2 linked regions of the Anolis sagrei genome follow. The protein of the gene in region 1 interacts with the protein of each later gene in a pairwise test. Links are inferred from orthologs where the notes say so. Each region holds a gene or a part of one and is shown in the gene's direction. Other genes may lie near its edges.

Region 1 (6,938 bases):
GAAGCATGCAAATGTAAGTGGATTAATAGGTACCGCTTCTGTGGGAAGGTAATGGTGCTCCATGCAGTCATGCCGGCCACATGACCTTGAAGGTGTCTACAGAAAACATCGGCTCTTCGACTTAGAAGTAAAGATGAGCACCACCCCCCAGAGTCAGACACGACTAGACTTAACCTTCACCTTAAGAAGTCAAAATGCAAGTTGCATATTTGGATCGATATCTTTTTTCTGACTTTAGGAAACATGGACTATTTTTATTGCAACTGGTGGTCCACATACCACAGGTTAGGAACCACTGCCCTAGACGGTCAGGTCCATGCTATTTGGCTGACCACATCTCCTTGTACGAATCTGCTCGGGCACTGAGATCTTCAGGAGAGGCTCTTCTCTCGGTCCCACCTTCATCTCAAGCTCAGTTGGTGGGAACAAGAGAGAGGGCCTTCCTTCCCCTCGACTCTGGACCTCTCTACCCAGGGAAGCCAGAATGGCCCCTTGCCTGCTGTCCTTCCGGTGGCAAGCTAAAACCTTTTTATTCCTGCAGGCTTTTAAAGATAAAAGTCTTTAAGATCTAGTAAGGGGATGCTGTGGTTTTTTTGATGTTTTTAACTATGAATTTTTTTAGTGGCATATGTGTTTAATTCTACTTTAATGCTCACATTTTTTTATATTTTAAATTGTATACTAATGCTTTTATGTCAAGCCACTTTGCATCCCCTTTGGGGAGATAAAGAGGGGAATAATAATAATAGCTTCTGATAGAGAAGATGTTGTTGTTCCTGATGGCATGCTTGTCTTTAAAAGAGTTGGGACAAGTTCTATGATGTCATGACATTCAGGCATCACTGAGTGTTTTCTTTTTGTTCATTAATTTTTGAGAGGCAACCACTGCATTTAATTTCAGTTACAATAACTATGCATTCTACATTACAAACAATACAATAAACAAATAACAAAAAGGCAATACTTGCAAAGCAAGAGAGAGAGAGAGAGAGAGAGAGAGGCAACCACTCAGTTACAATAACTATGCTTTCTACATGTATAGACTATGTAGGATTATGACTGTATTAAACAGACACAATGCTGATGTCACCTAGCATTTTAGGACTATTAACCGTTTAGTAAGATAAAGCCATTATGGCTCCAGAATGGATGAAATAAGGTGAAGCTTAAAGTATTATTGGAAAATGCAGTATGTGTTGAGGTTTTTAAGTAACTGTCTTCAAATCAACTCCCATCTTATGACAATTATGCTATATTGTTTTCTTTGCAAGATTTGCCTTAGTGCTCATGATGGAAAGAGTTCAACTTGTCCAAGTGTGCCTGTATTTTTCCATGGGTAAGGGGTCCCCTGGAGATCTAGCTTGAGAGTTGAACCACTTCATGACAGTGGCTCTTTTGGAATCGATATTATTGTTGTTAACTGCCATCAAACCCCATGAACGATGAACCTCCAAGTTACCCTGCTCAGATCTTGCAGACTCAGAGTCATGGCTTCCTTGATTGAGCCCACCCATCTGGAATTGTAGTCCTCCTCTTTTCCTGCTGCCTTCTACCTCACCAAGCACAATTGCCTTTTCTAGTGAGTCATGTCTTCTCAAAATATGGCCAACATCTCGGTTTAGCCATGTTGGCTTCTAGGGAGAGTTCAGACTTGATTTGCTCTAGGACCCATTTATTGCTTTTTATAGCAATCCACAGTATCCAAACTCTTCTCAAGCACCACATTTCAAATGAGTAGAATATCTTCCTATCAGATTTCTTTACTATCCAGCTTTTGCAACATACATAGAAATGGTTTTCACAGGTCTGATAGCATTCCCTGAAGTCAATGAGTCAGATTAAGGACTTGGTTTTTTTCTTCTTCTAAGAAGTCAATTTGAACATATTTACTTCTCTTCCAAATAACAATCCTCTCCTTCTGTAAAGACAGAAGTGCCCTTTGGGTGCTTTGAGAACTCATTGATACATGCATGTTTTCCCACTTGAGTCTCCAAACAATAGAGAATCAAGTGATGTACGTGTGTGAGAGAACTTCCGGTTAAGCCTGTTATAGTGAATACAAGGCAGCCTAAGAGGAAAACAGTCTTGATTGTTTTGCCAAGCATAAAACTCTGTTACATACTCTCAGTATAAAGACTTAATTCCTAGGGAGTAGCACTTAATAATAAGTGTGGTTGAGCATGTCCCCAGAAATTTCCCATAACGCTAATTATAACCATCATTGTACAATGGGGATTAAAATCTTGCAGGATCCAGGAATCCTGGTGACATAAAAACTTGCTGCATCCACAAAGAAAATTGCACTCCTTATACAGAATGGTTTTGCATAATAGTCATATCTAGCTGACATCAGCTAAGCAGAGTCGTGCTTGTAGGTCTGTTGTGCATATGGTATAAGAGTGATCACTTGTGGCCAGGCATGTAGCTGGGGGGGGGGGGGGCTTGAGGGGCTTCAGCCCCCCCCCCCCCGAAATTCTCATGGTGGTTCGCGAAAAGGCCTTACTGGTGCATTATTTAAACTGTTGTTTATTCATATCATGATCTGATCACCATTCTCAATATATCCCATATGCATGGGGGTATTGGGGTAATGATACAAAAGGTTTGCTAGGTTAGACCCTCTTTCACTCAGACTCAGCCCCCCCCCGAAACTCAGCCCCCCCGAACCCCCCCCCCCAAAAATCACCCTCCCCCCGAAACGAAATCCTGGCTACGGGCCTGCTTGTGGCCGAGTATTACTGTCTCCCATAAATGATGGTGAAGACCTATTCTTCATCCACGTGGTGTTTCACGTTGACATAGATTTCCAGATGGAAGGCAGTCACAACAGAGATTTGTGTGGTGGCACATTTCTGTGTTTTTGCCTGCCACTTTTGGATTCTTCCTTGCTGGGGTGTTCCTGCGAGTATCTTTGTAGATCTTAGGAAGCTGTTTCTTGATTTAAGACGTTGGCATGCTTGCTGATATCTGGACAGAACATGGGCCGGAAATGTCAATGCCTTGGTCCTTTCATTAATGGCCACTACTTCCCGATGGATGCAGGGAAACACTATAATTTCTGCAGTGGTGTATGGTGTAGACACCCTGTAATAATGCGGCATGTCTCATTAAGAGCCACACCCACTGTTTTAGCATGGCGAGATGAGTTCCACATTGGGCATAGATATTCAGCAGCATAGCAAAGCGCAAGGGCAGATGTCTTCACTGTCTAGTTGTGATCCCCAGGTTGTGCCAGATACCAGGTGCTGCACACAATATTTGTAAGTAACGGACTGGGGAAAACCTTCTGAGTATTCCTTCATTGTCTCTGTAAGTTAGCAGGTGACTTGAAGGCACATAAAGAGAGACCGTCTGAGTAAGAATCTGAAGTAAGAATCCCCTGTTACTAGAGCGCAGCCTGTTCAGTGCCTCCAGCCCTTCCACACTTGTGTGTGCCCAGGAGGGAGTTTCTCATTCATTGTAACAGAATTGATGCAGCTTGGCATCACTTTGTACTTCATCACACTAGAGAATGAATTTGGTTGCTGCCTCCTCTTGCAGAATTCTGGGGTTTGTAGTTTAGTGATGCTGTTAAAGGCTCCTCCCTAAATTACAAAACCCAGAATTCTGCAAGAGGCAGCAACCAGATTTAAAGTGGATTCATTCTCTAGTGCGATGAGGTCCTTTAGCTGGCCAAATGCTATGGCATCCTGGGCGATGCAATTTGGCGCAAGGCCCCAGCGCTCTTTGACCGCGATGGCTGAAGAAAGACCCTGTGAAAGTGAACTGCCAACATTCCAACAGCCCTGAGCCATGCCGGTTCAAGCGGGGCCGAAGCGCATTAATTCTCTAGTGCGGATACAAGGGAGGGAAGCGCCTGGGAGGCCCGAGGGAGGGAGGGATGGAGAGAAGAGGCGTCCCTCCCGCCTCTTTCCCAAGCCAAACGGGGCGGCCTTTGGGTCCTTCCGACGGTCTGGGGGCGGGGAAGGAGGGGAGGGGAAGCAGCCACCCGAGGATGTGGAGCAGCGGCGACCCCTCGGCTTCGGGCGGCACGGAGCGAGACCCCGGTGAGGAGTGGGGGCTTCTCGGGAGGGAGCAGAAGCGGGTGGGAGTGGCGATGGCCAACAGGCAGCAAACAAAGGAGTTTCCCCGGGACGGCCGCGCGCCGCCTCTCCTTTGCCCGGGGAAGCACGAGCCCTTCTGGTAGGGGTTTCGCCGCCACCCCGGGAAGCCTCCTTCCTCTCGCGCGCCCCCTCCTGGCCGGGAGCGGGAATAGGCATCTCCACTCCCAACATTTTCAACTCACTGCTATGAACTCATGGGAGTCGTGGTTTGATGAAGCGCTCTGTGGCCAAGAAGGCTCAAGGCCTTGTAAAACTATAACGTCGGCATCCCAGAGCAGTTCAACTGCTGTTGAACTGCATTAATTCTACAGCGTAGACACACCCAAGGGCCCAGAAGATGTCCCATAGAGGTCCCTGCTGTCACAACAGGCATGGGCAAACTTGGGCCCTCCCTCCAGGGCTTTTGGACTTCCACCATTCCTAACAGCCTCAGGTCCTTTCCTGTTAGGATTGGTGGGAGTTGAAGTCCAAAAGGCCCAAGTTTGCCCATGCATAATTCAACATTGTGATATAATGCAGTTTGAAATTGCATTATATGGTCAGTATAATTCATATGGTGCAATTTTACTACATTATGTGAGGCTGGATCTTCACTGGAATTTGACAGCATTGGACTAGATTCTACACTGCCCTAAAATCCAGATCAATGCAGTTAAATTGCATTATATGGCAGCATACATCTAGCCAGTATCTACACTGACCATATACTGCAGTTTTAATTGTATTTACAGACTATATCTGTATATCTATACTCTTCTAGGCTAAAAATGTTGATAAAGGCTATCCAGGCTTGTGTTGCTGTGATAGATATTCATCGGTCATGGAATAACTTCAATCTGGGGGCACATTCATGCTATGCAATTATAGCACTATGATTCCACTTTATTGCCATGGCAACATCCCATGGAATCCTGAGATTTCTAATTTAGCTCAGATAGTCCCTGAGTTACAAACATCCAACTTACAAAAGACTCATAGTTAAGAATAGGGGTGTGACCACAGGAAGTGAGAGAAACCTACCCTTTGGAAGGGAAATTCACTCCTGGAAGAGTTATCATGGGGGAAAGGGGTCTCCACTGAAGCTTTATCACCAATCCTTGGTTCCACAACAAGCCAAAATGTTCACAGTTCAGTTATCACAGGGACAGAATGTGAGGTGAAATCTTCTGAATGGGTACAGACAGCAAAACTAACAACACAGAGTGTTCACCCTTCCCTATGCCATCCAGAGCTAACACGTATATATATTTGTTTTGTTGAAGACTTTCATGGCTGGAACCACTGGGTTGCTGTGATTTTTCCGAGGTGTATGGCCATGTTCCAGAAGCATTCTATCTTGAATGACATGAAAACAAGACATGAAACAATCAGGATCAGCTAACACCTCCCAACAAAGCATTCCCCCAGGCAGGAAGCAGCCTGGCTTTGAAGCAGCAAGTCCATTCAGTGCTAACAAACGTGGTCTATTGCAATATTCACACTTGCCTCAAACAGACAAGAGTTCTTTCTCCCACCCTGGACATTCCACAGATGTATAAACCTCACTTGCCTATTTCCAACAGATCTCACAACCTCTGAGGATGCCATGCCATAGATGTGGACAAAACATCAGGAGACAATGCTTATGGAACATAGACATACAGCCAGGAAACCTCAGAGCAACCCATATATATTTTTGGTTGGAGCTACACTTACAAATGTACCTGTTTTGATTTACATGCAAATTCAACTTAAGAACAAATCTACAGAACCCATGTTGTTTGCAACTTGGGAAGTGTCTGTATTGGTCTACATTCAGCTGCTAGTCCCAGTTTGAGCAGAAATAATGCAAACACTCTATGGCTCCCTTCCATCCCACATTATCTGTTTTGAACTGGGCTCAGGGGCGGCCCGTCCACTACGCAAAGTAAGCGGTCACAGAACACTTTTTTTTGCCAGGGGCACAGAGGCACCTCTGTAAATGCCCCTCGACTGCCACTTGAAGAGTGCCCCCTCAGCTCACAACAGCCCTAGCAGTCCGGGGGGAGCCTCGGCTTTCTTGCCTCGCTGCTGGGCGATCCTCTTCCCAAAGGGGCTGGGCCCTTGAACCTCGCCTAGCCCCTCTCGTTCCTGCTCCACCTGGCCACCGGGTGCACGAGCAGAGCCAGCGCTCAATCATTCTCCGCACTCGATCCCTTCCCCATGACCGGCTCCCTTTCCCGATCCCCCGGCGCTTCACCTGCCTCCTCTCCTCTCCCCAATCCACGGGTGGTCCAAGGGGCGGAGCCGTCGCGCCTGGCCCGCTTCGGGTCCGGAGGCGTGTCTGAAGACCCCAGCGTGCGCACCAAAAGTCACCTCTTCTCCTGACTTTCTCTTCAGCCATTGGGACCAAGAGAGAGAGAGAGAGAGCCCCTCCAGCTGGAGGTATCTCCTACCTCCGCTCCCTCCTTTGTTTTTGTGCCTACCTTCAGGAAAGGTGGGCATCTCCACCTCTCTCTCTCTCTCTCTCTCTTTCTCTCTCTCGGTCCCAATGGCTGAGGAGAAAGTCAGGAGAAGAGGTGACTTTTGGTGCACACGCCGGGGTCTTCAGGCACGCCTCCGGACCCAAAGCGGGCCAGGCAAGGGAGCAAGTGCGGCAAGTGTAGTTACTGGGATGTATAGCTCACCTACAATCAAAGAGCATTCTGAACTCCACCAATGATGGAATTGAACCAAATATGGCACACAGAACTCCCACGACAAACAGAAAATATATATCAATGGTTGGGGGGGGGGGCACCAAAATACTGTTTGCTTACCATTGAAAATTACCTAGGGCCGCCTCTGACTGGGCTATATGGCAGTGTGGACTCAGAT
Region 2 (7,210 bases), on another chromosome or scaffold:
GGTCCTATCTTTTTTCATTACATTTAAAGGTGTTACTCAACTGTTGAAAAAAGTGAATATATTGCAACAACAAACTGCAACAATATTTCTGAAGTCTAAAATCAGCACATTGACCTATATTTTCTCTAGAACATTAAAGAAATAAGATAAGAAGAAACTCTTGCTCTGACTCGTCAAGAGAAAGAGTGCCATGTTTGGACATCATGTTAAACAAATAAACAACAGGAAGCCCATGCTATGTTGAACTGCTCCTTCTTGCAATGGGACGAACCTTGTCTCTGACAGTTTGGGTACTTTTTAAAGATGTAGAATTGGAAACCACCCAGTGCACCAAGAGAGTTCTCTTTATTTATTTATTTATTTATTTACTTACTTATTTATTGCATTTATATACTGCTTTTCTCACCCCTGGGGAGACTCAAAGGAAAGGCAGGATTCAGTGCCAACATATATACAAAACCAAAGCATGCTAACTAAAACAATAGCATATAACTATACATTAAACAAAATATTTGCAGAAATATTTAAAAACTATTCAAGAAATTATTTCAAAAATATTGATTTAAATATTTGCACAAATATTCATTGAAATAATCACAAAAGGATGCAGAAATATTCACAAAAATATTCACAGAAATGATCATAAAATATATACAAAATATTGTCAGAAATATTCACTGAAATAATCACAAAAATATTGTCAGAAATATTCATTAACATAGCCACAAAAAGAGTTATAGAATTCGTAACATATTTGCAGAAATATTCACAAAATGTTCAACAAATTATTTCAAAAAATAATCATAAAAATATTCCCAGGAATTATTCACAAAAAATATTCACAAAATATGTTCAGAAAAATATATGCTGAAATATTTGGGAAAAATATTCTCAGAAATAATCAAAATACTCACAAATATATTTTCAGAAAAAAAATCCTAAAAATATTTGCAGAAATATTCATTAAAATGTTTGCTGAAATAATCATAAAAATATTCCCAAAAATGTATTCATAAAATATTTGCCTTCAGGCCTTGGGTTTGGGGAGGCAGGGGAGGAAGGGAGGAAGAATAGAAGGAAGGAAGGGCCCTTTAATATTATTATTATTATTATTATTTCCATTATTTTTGTGATTATTTTTCACCCTTTTATTCTTCTGTGATTTTCCCATGGGGACTTCAGAATTCTTAACCATGAGATTTGAGGTTGCACATCACTAGTTTTGATGAGTTTGTCGTAAAATGTGGTGTGAAAGCAATATTCTCATAAAAGCTTTGCAGAATTTTTTTTGGCCTAAAGCTAAGAGCGTTCATTTCTACTTGCCTTAAAGTCAGATTACTAAACACAAGCAATATTCCATCCCCTGACAGTAACAGCATTCAAGAATGCATTGTGCAAGGCAACAGCAATGACATTAAATGGAAATAAAAGACTTTCCTACATTTAGCCACTTGGATAAGACTATTAAATGTTATAAGCTGGACTTGAACTAATTTCTCAACACAAATACATAATAATGAAAAATATTAAGATTACATCATTCAAGAAAAATGCTCCCTACATACCGTACACCTAACATTATCATAATTTTCTTCTAAGTATGATTCCCAGTGAGCCTCATCAACAAAATCCCAATTGGGGTAGTCCACAAATGCAGCATGAGCAACAGGTATATTCTTCTCATTAATCACAGTCACTGCAAGGTTGGCTTTTTCTCTGTAAAACAAATGTTTAGATTTCATTGATGGAACAAGTAAAAATAAATTACAGGATTTTTAATTAGGATAAATAGTTACCATTGTGTTACTTACAAAAGATAAATAACATTGACTCTGCCAAAAAGTCTTTCTGTATCATATTTCATGTGACCAACAATATTAGGAATATCATGGGATTCTGTTCTTCTGGCACTGAGTGTGACAGTAGATTGAATAGACGATGATGTTAGACGTAATAATGAAGTCATATTCTAAACTGCAACACAAAGAGGAAAAATGCTTCTTCAGACAAATGAGTTATAGCCCAGGACAAAACTGAAAATAATGACAAAAATGTAGAAGTAATTTAAAATGACACCAATTTTTGCAGTATGGTCCTATGTATAAAACTGATTGGCTAAAATTATATGCACTTTCACATAACTTCTTTTACTATTACAAAATGAACCCAACTTATTAGATCAGGCAATGTGTGATTTATGCTTACACTTCAGGTTTCTAATAAATATGCATGGGACATTAATGACTTTCTACAATTGGTTTCCAGTTTTTCCAACCATACAAAAACAGTTGATATGTTATCAGCTATCACGGACATTGCAGTTTTGTAAGGAATGTCACTTTCTTCAATCCCTAGATTCCTCTATGACAGGAATTTAGGGTTAGCTGTTGAACTAGTTGTGCAGTTCAGTTGTACACATACTTGCATGACAGAAGTGTGCAGTGGGCCATGTTCTAGAGGCATTCTCTCCTGATGTTTTGCCTGCATCTATGGCAAGCATCCTCAGAGGTAGTGAGGTCTGATGGAACTAGCAAAAAGGGTTTATATATCTGTGGAATGACCAGAGTGGGACAAAGGACTCTTTTCTGCTGGAGCTAGGTGTGATTGTTTCAACTTACCACCTTGATTAGCATTTGATGGCCTGGCAGTGCCTGGGGCAATCTTTTGTTGAGAGGTGATTAGATGTCCCAGATTGCTTCCTCTCTGTTGTTTTGCTGTTTTAATTTTTGAGGTTTTTTAATACTGGTAGCCAGATTTTGTTCATTTTCATGGTTTCCTCCTTTCTGTTGAAATTGTCCACATGCTTGTGGATTTCAATGGCTTCTCTGTGTAGTCTGACATGGTGGTTGTGAGAGTGGTCCAGCATTTCTGTGTTCTCAAACAATATGCTGTGTCCAGGTTGGTTCATCAGGTGCTCTGCTATGGCTGATTTCTCTGGTTGAAGTAGTCTGCAGTGCCTTTCATGTTCCTTGATCTGTGTTTGGGCGCTGTGTTTGGTGGTCCCTATGTTGACTTGTCCACACCTGCATGGTACATGGTAGACTTCTGCAGAAGTGAGAGGATCCCTCTTGTCCTTTGCTGAACATAGCATTTGTTGGATTTTCAAACAACAGTCAGGCCAACAAATGCTAATCAAGGTGGTCAGTTGAAACATTCACACCTGGCTCCAACAGACAAGCAGGCCTGAAGCGAGGGGGTGGTTTTAGGGGTTCAACCCCCCCCCCCCCGAAATGTTTCAGATTTTTTTAAAAAACCTGGGTTACTCATGAATTTTAACTGGTTAACCAAATCCCCATGCTGTCTATGAGATGCAAAAAATTAAGAGTCCCTCCAGAACTGCAAGCACTATCTCAAGCAAATATTGACAATTTATTCACACTGTCATTACTTGCAGCAATAGCTGATGTAGTGAAGCAACCAAGTTGGGGGTGTGCATGTTGAATGCTCTCATTAAGGAGGCCAGACTTGGTGGAGGTGGTTGACAGGGGCGGAGCTGCAGGCTATTGAAGGCTGCTCTGCCCTCTGCTGTGCTCTTTGCTTCAGCGTGAGCTAGGAGGCAGGTTTCAACCCTCCCCACGGCCGAAAATTTCAAACCCCCCCCTGAAAATTTCAACCCCTCCTGAAATTTTTTTCTGGCTACGGCCCTGCAGACAAGAGTCCTTTGTCCCATCCTGGTCATTCCACAGATATGTAAACCCATTTTCCTAGTTCCAACAGACCTCACTACCTCTGAGGATGCTTGCCATAGATGCAGGAGAAACGTCAGGAGAAAATGCCTCTAGAACATGGCCATATAGCCCGAAAAAACCTACAACAACCCAGTGATTCCGGCCATGAAAGCTTTCGACAATACAAGGCCTAACCATCTTGTTCAATGGGCAGGGATTCTAGGGGCCCTTCCACACAGCCCTATATCCCAGAATATCAAGGCAGAAAATCCCGCAATATCTGCTTTGAACTGCGTTATCTGAGTCCACACTTAGATAAAGTGGGGTTTTGTGCCTTGATATTCTGGGATATAGGGCTGTGTGGAAGAGCCTTGAGTGTGGGCTGAGATAACCCACTTCAAAGCATCCCGCAGGACTCACCTTTCAGCAAGGGAGGCCTCTCAATGTGCTGCTGGGCTTCGAGCTCTGAATCAGGACCGCGGCGCGTGCCCGTTGCCAAGGCGACGGAGAGGTCGAGCTTGCCGGCCGCGCGGAATGATGGGAAGCGGAGGCGGAGCTTAGTAGAGACTTCGTCGGAAGCGCTGCGAAAATGGCGTCTACGGCGGCCGGGAAGCAGCGGATCCCCAAAGTAGCCAAGGTGAGGGCGCGAAGCAATGGCAGGGTCACTTATTTCTGTGTGCTTCTCTTCGGGGTTCAGTCCCCTCGGGACTTGACTTCGGAACAGAAAAGGAGTCAGCTTGGGCTGAGGGGGATAGTCGAGGGGGGGAAAGTGGCAGGGAAAGTGGGAGGCCGCGCTCTTCTGGGAGAGAGGGGCCTTTTCGCAGCACTCGGTTGAGCAGGGCCAGCTACTAAGGTTGCATCCAAAATGAAAAGAACTATTGTTTTAATAGTAACTAACCGTCCCCTTCCACGCGTTGCTGTGGCCCAATCTGTGTATATGTGTTTTGTGTGTGTATATATTTGTGAATATGTGTATATATGTGGTTTTGTGCATGTGTTGTAATGTAAATATGGGCTAAATTTCAATATTTCCATATGATTTGTTAACTTTTGCTGATCCCATACCTCCACAGGTAAAGAACAAAGCCCCTGCAGAAGTACAGATCACAGCAGAGCAGCTCTTAAGAGAAGCAAAGGAGAGAGAGCTTGAGCTACTCCCCCCACCCCCTCAACAGAAGATCACAGATGAAGAAGAACTAAATGATTATAAACTTCGCAAAAGAAAAGTAAGTAAATATTATGATCTACTGGTGTTGTGATAGCATTTATTTAAGCTTATATCACAGTTACTTAAAATACACATTATTTAAAATACACATTAACCTGTAAAGCAAAGCTCCTGGAGAATATGATTGGATGTAAAGAAAGTGAAATCTTGAAGTTTTGCACTATCCTAGGTCCGGTCTTCTTTATACCCTGATCATGCCCATCTTAGAATTTTGGTTATTGGTTTTTGTTGTGTATTGTTTGAGTGAGTTTTAATGCTGCTGTTTTATACCCTTATGTTTTATTTAATTGTGTTTTAGTTTATTGTTATGCTTTGCTATGTTTTATTTTAATTGTGGTTTTTGTTTTAATGGATTGTTTTGTTTTGATGTTCTGTGGACATTTTGTCCCATGTGCAAGCCGCCCCAAGTTCTTTAAGGGAGATGGAGGCGGGGCATAAAAATAAAGTTGTTGTTATTATTATTATTATCATTATCATCATCATCATCTTAAATAGCATCCTTGTAGCTGCTCATGAATATTATCGTAAGGCTATCATGAGCTTGGCACTTCACTGCAGGAAAGGACTGTTGACCTCGTTTCTGATTCTGAAAATTATTAATCTGAATCATGTCCTTAGAGGTATTCTGTTTTTGTTTATTCTGCTTAATACTTGTTTGAATACTTCTCTATGGGGAATAGAAAAGCACTAAACATAGTCTGTGTTGACATATTGTGTAGTGAAGTAGAGTTATTGTTGCTCTAAAAATAATTTTAGAAATTTGCCCCATGCTTTTTCTATAGACTTTTGAAGATAACATAAGAAAAAATCGGACAGTTATTAGCAACTGGATCAAGTACGCACAATGGGAGGAAAGCCTCAAAGAAATACAAAGGTAACTATTTCCCTTTGGGCATCATTTGCTGCATAAATAACCAATAGTGGTCATTACCTTAAGATTGGAATTTCAAATGCATTAATTTCAACCCTGTTTTGCTGTCAGGGCTCGTTCCATCTACGAGCGTGCTCTAGATGTGGACTACCGAAATGTCACCCTTTGGCTAAAGTATGCGGAGATGGAAATGAAGAACCGCCAAGTCAATCATTCTCGAAATATTTGGGACCGTGCCATCACAACTTTACCAAGAGTCAATCAGTTCTGGTAAGCTAAGCATGTTTGGTGCTTTTCAAACAGTAGTAAACTGAAATAAATATTCCTGTGAAAATGTATTTTTGCTGTATTTTTGTGTAAAATCACTTCATTAATTAGATGACAGAACTGCCCTTTCTTATGTTGCTTTTACTTGCATAGGTACAAATATACTTACATGGAAGAGATGTTGGGAAACATTGCTGGGACCCGCCAGGTGTTTGAACGCTGGATGGAGTGGCAGCCAGAGGAACAAGCTTGGCATTCCTTCATTAACTTTGAGCTTAGATACAAGGAGGTGGACAGAGCACGGGCTATTTATGAAAGATATATCCTTTTCAGTGTATTCCAGTGTCAACTTCATGATTTGTTCATATTTTTTCTTCCAATAACACTATATAACATGATTTTTGTTCCTGAATTATAAATGTTATTTCCTAATTGGTTCTATCATAAAAACATGGAAAAGGTTTGTTAAACAGCAAAAACTTTGTTTTTGTGGGACATCCTGCAACATATTTTTCTATAGTAGTAGTAGTAGTAGTAGTAATAATAATAATAATAATTTATTTGTAGTTTTTCAATGATTATCTGATAAGAATCTCAATGAGAAATAGATTTTTTTCCAAACTGGATTACATAGTATAATAAAATCTGCCTATTTGATAGTGTAGGAGACAGAAAATTAGCTATTTTAAAATATATCTTTATTGAAATCTTTCTATAACATGATTTAAAATATCAGAAAAGTAAAGAAAAGACAAGAAAAAGGTGGAGATAGAAGAGACAAGAGGAAAAAAAACTAGTGAAATATACCTTAAATTAAAAATAACAAAAAAATGAAAAAGAGAAATGTATCTTCTTGACTTCCAGAGTATCTTCTGTGAGGTGTCCTCCTTTTCCTTCTTCCTTACTTTTTCTCTCTTTTTTTCTTCCTTCATCATTCCATCTCCCCTTCATTCATTTGAGGTTGATTTTTAATTTCTATATTAACATCTTATATTTCTTTTCTTTTAGATATTCTGTAACTTTCTTCCAATTTGTCTCTTATTGGTTTACCTTTGTTTTGGTTTTTTTGATATCAAACAGAAAATTAGCTATTAAGGAGAAAAATATGAGCTGTGTCTCCTTGACTTCCCTTCCTTGCTTTCTTAAAAACCAACAAACAGTACAGTATTGTTTTTC

The links.
Region 2: the proteins of DISC1 (region 1) and CRNKL1 interact in a two-hybrid assay, tested with the Homo sapiens proteins (2 studies listed by IntAct). The link is inferred for Anolis sagrei from reciprocal best matches to the Homo sapiens genes DISC1 and CRNKL1.

Annotation. Positions count from the first base shown.
Region 1 is NC_090021.1:60,761,713-60,768,650, reverse strand, and holds the start of DISC1 (disrupted in schizophrenia 1 protein), read left to right. Parts: upstream 1-3,921; 5' UTR 3,922-3,994; coding exon 3,995-4,046; intron 4,047-6,938. UniProt on the Homo sapiens protein: Involved in the regulation of multiple aspects of embryonic and adult neurogenesis. Required for neural progenitor proliferation in the ventrical/subventrical zone during embryonic brain development and in the adult dentate gyrus of the hippocampus.
Region 2 is NC_090024.1:139,014,236-139,021,445, reverse strand, and holds the start of CRNKL1 (crooked neck-like protein 1), read left to right. Parts: upstream 1-4,202; 5' UTR 4,203-4,257; coding exon 4,258-4,305; intron 4,306-4,741; coding exon 4,742-4,894; intron 4,895-5,678; coding exon 5,679-5,770; intron 5,771-5,878; coding exon 5,879-6,037; intron 6,038-6,187; coding exon 6,188-6,354; intron 6,355-7,210. Other genes in the region: CFAP61 (cilia- and flagella-associated protein 61), read right to left, coding at 1,566-1,716, 1,812-1,966. UniProt on the Homo sapiens protein: Involved in pre-mRNA splicing process. As a component of the minor spliceosome, involved in the splicing of U12-type introns in pre-mRNAs.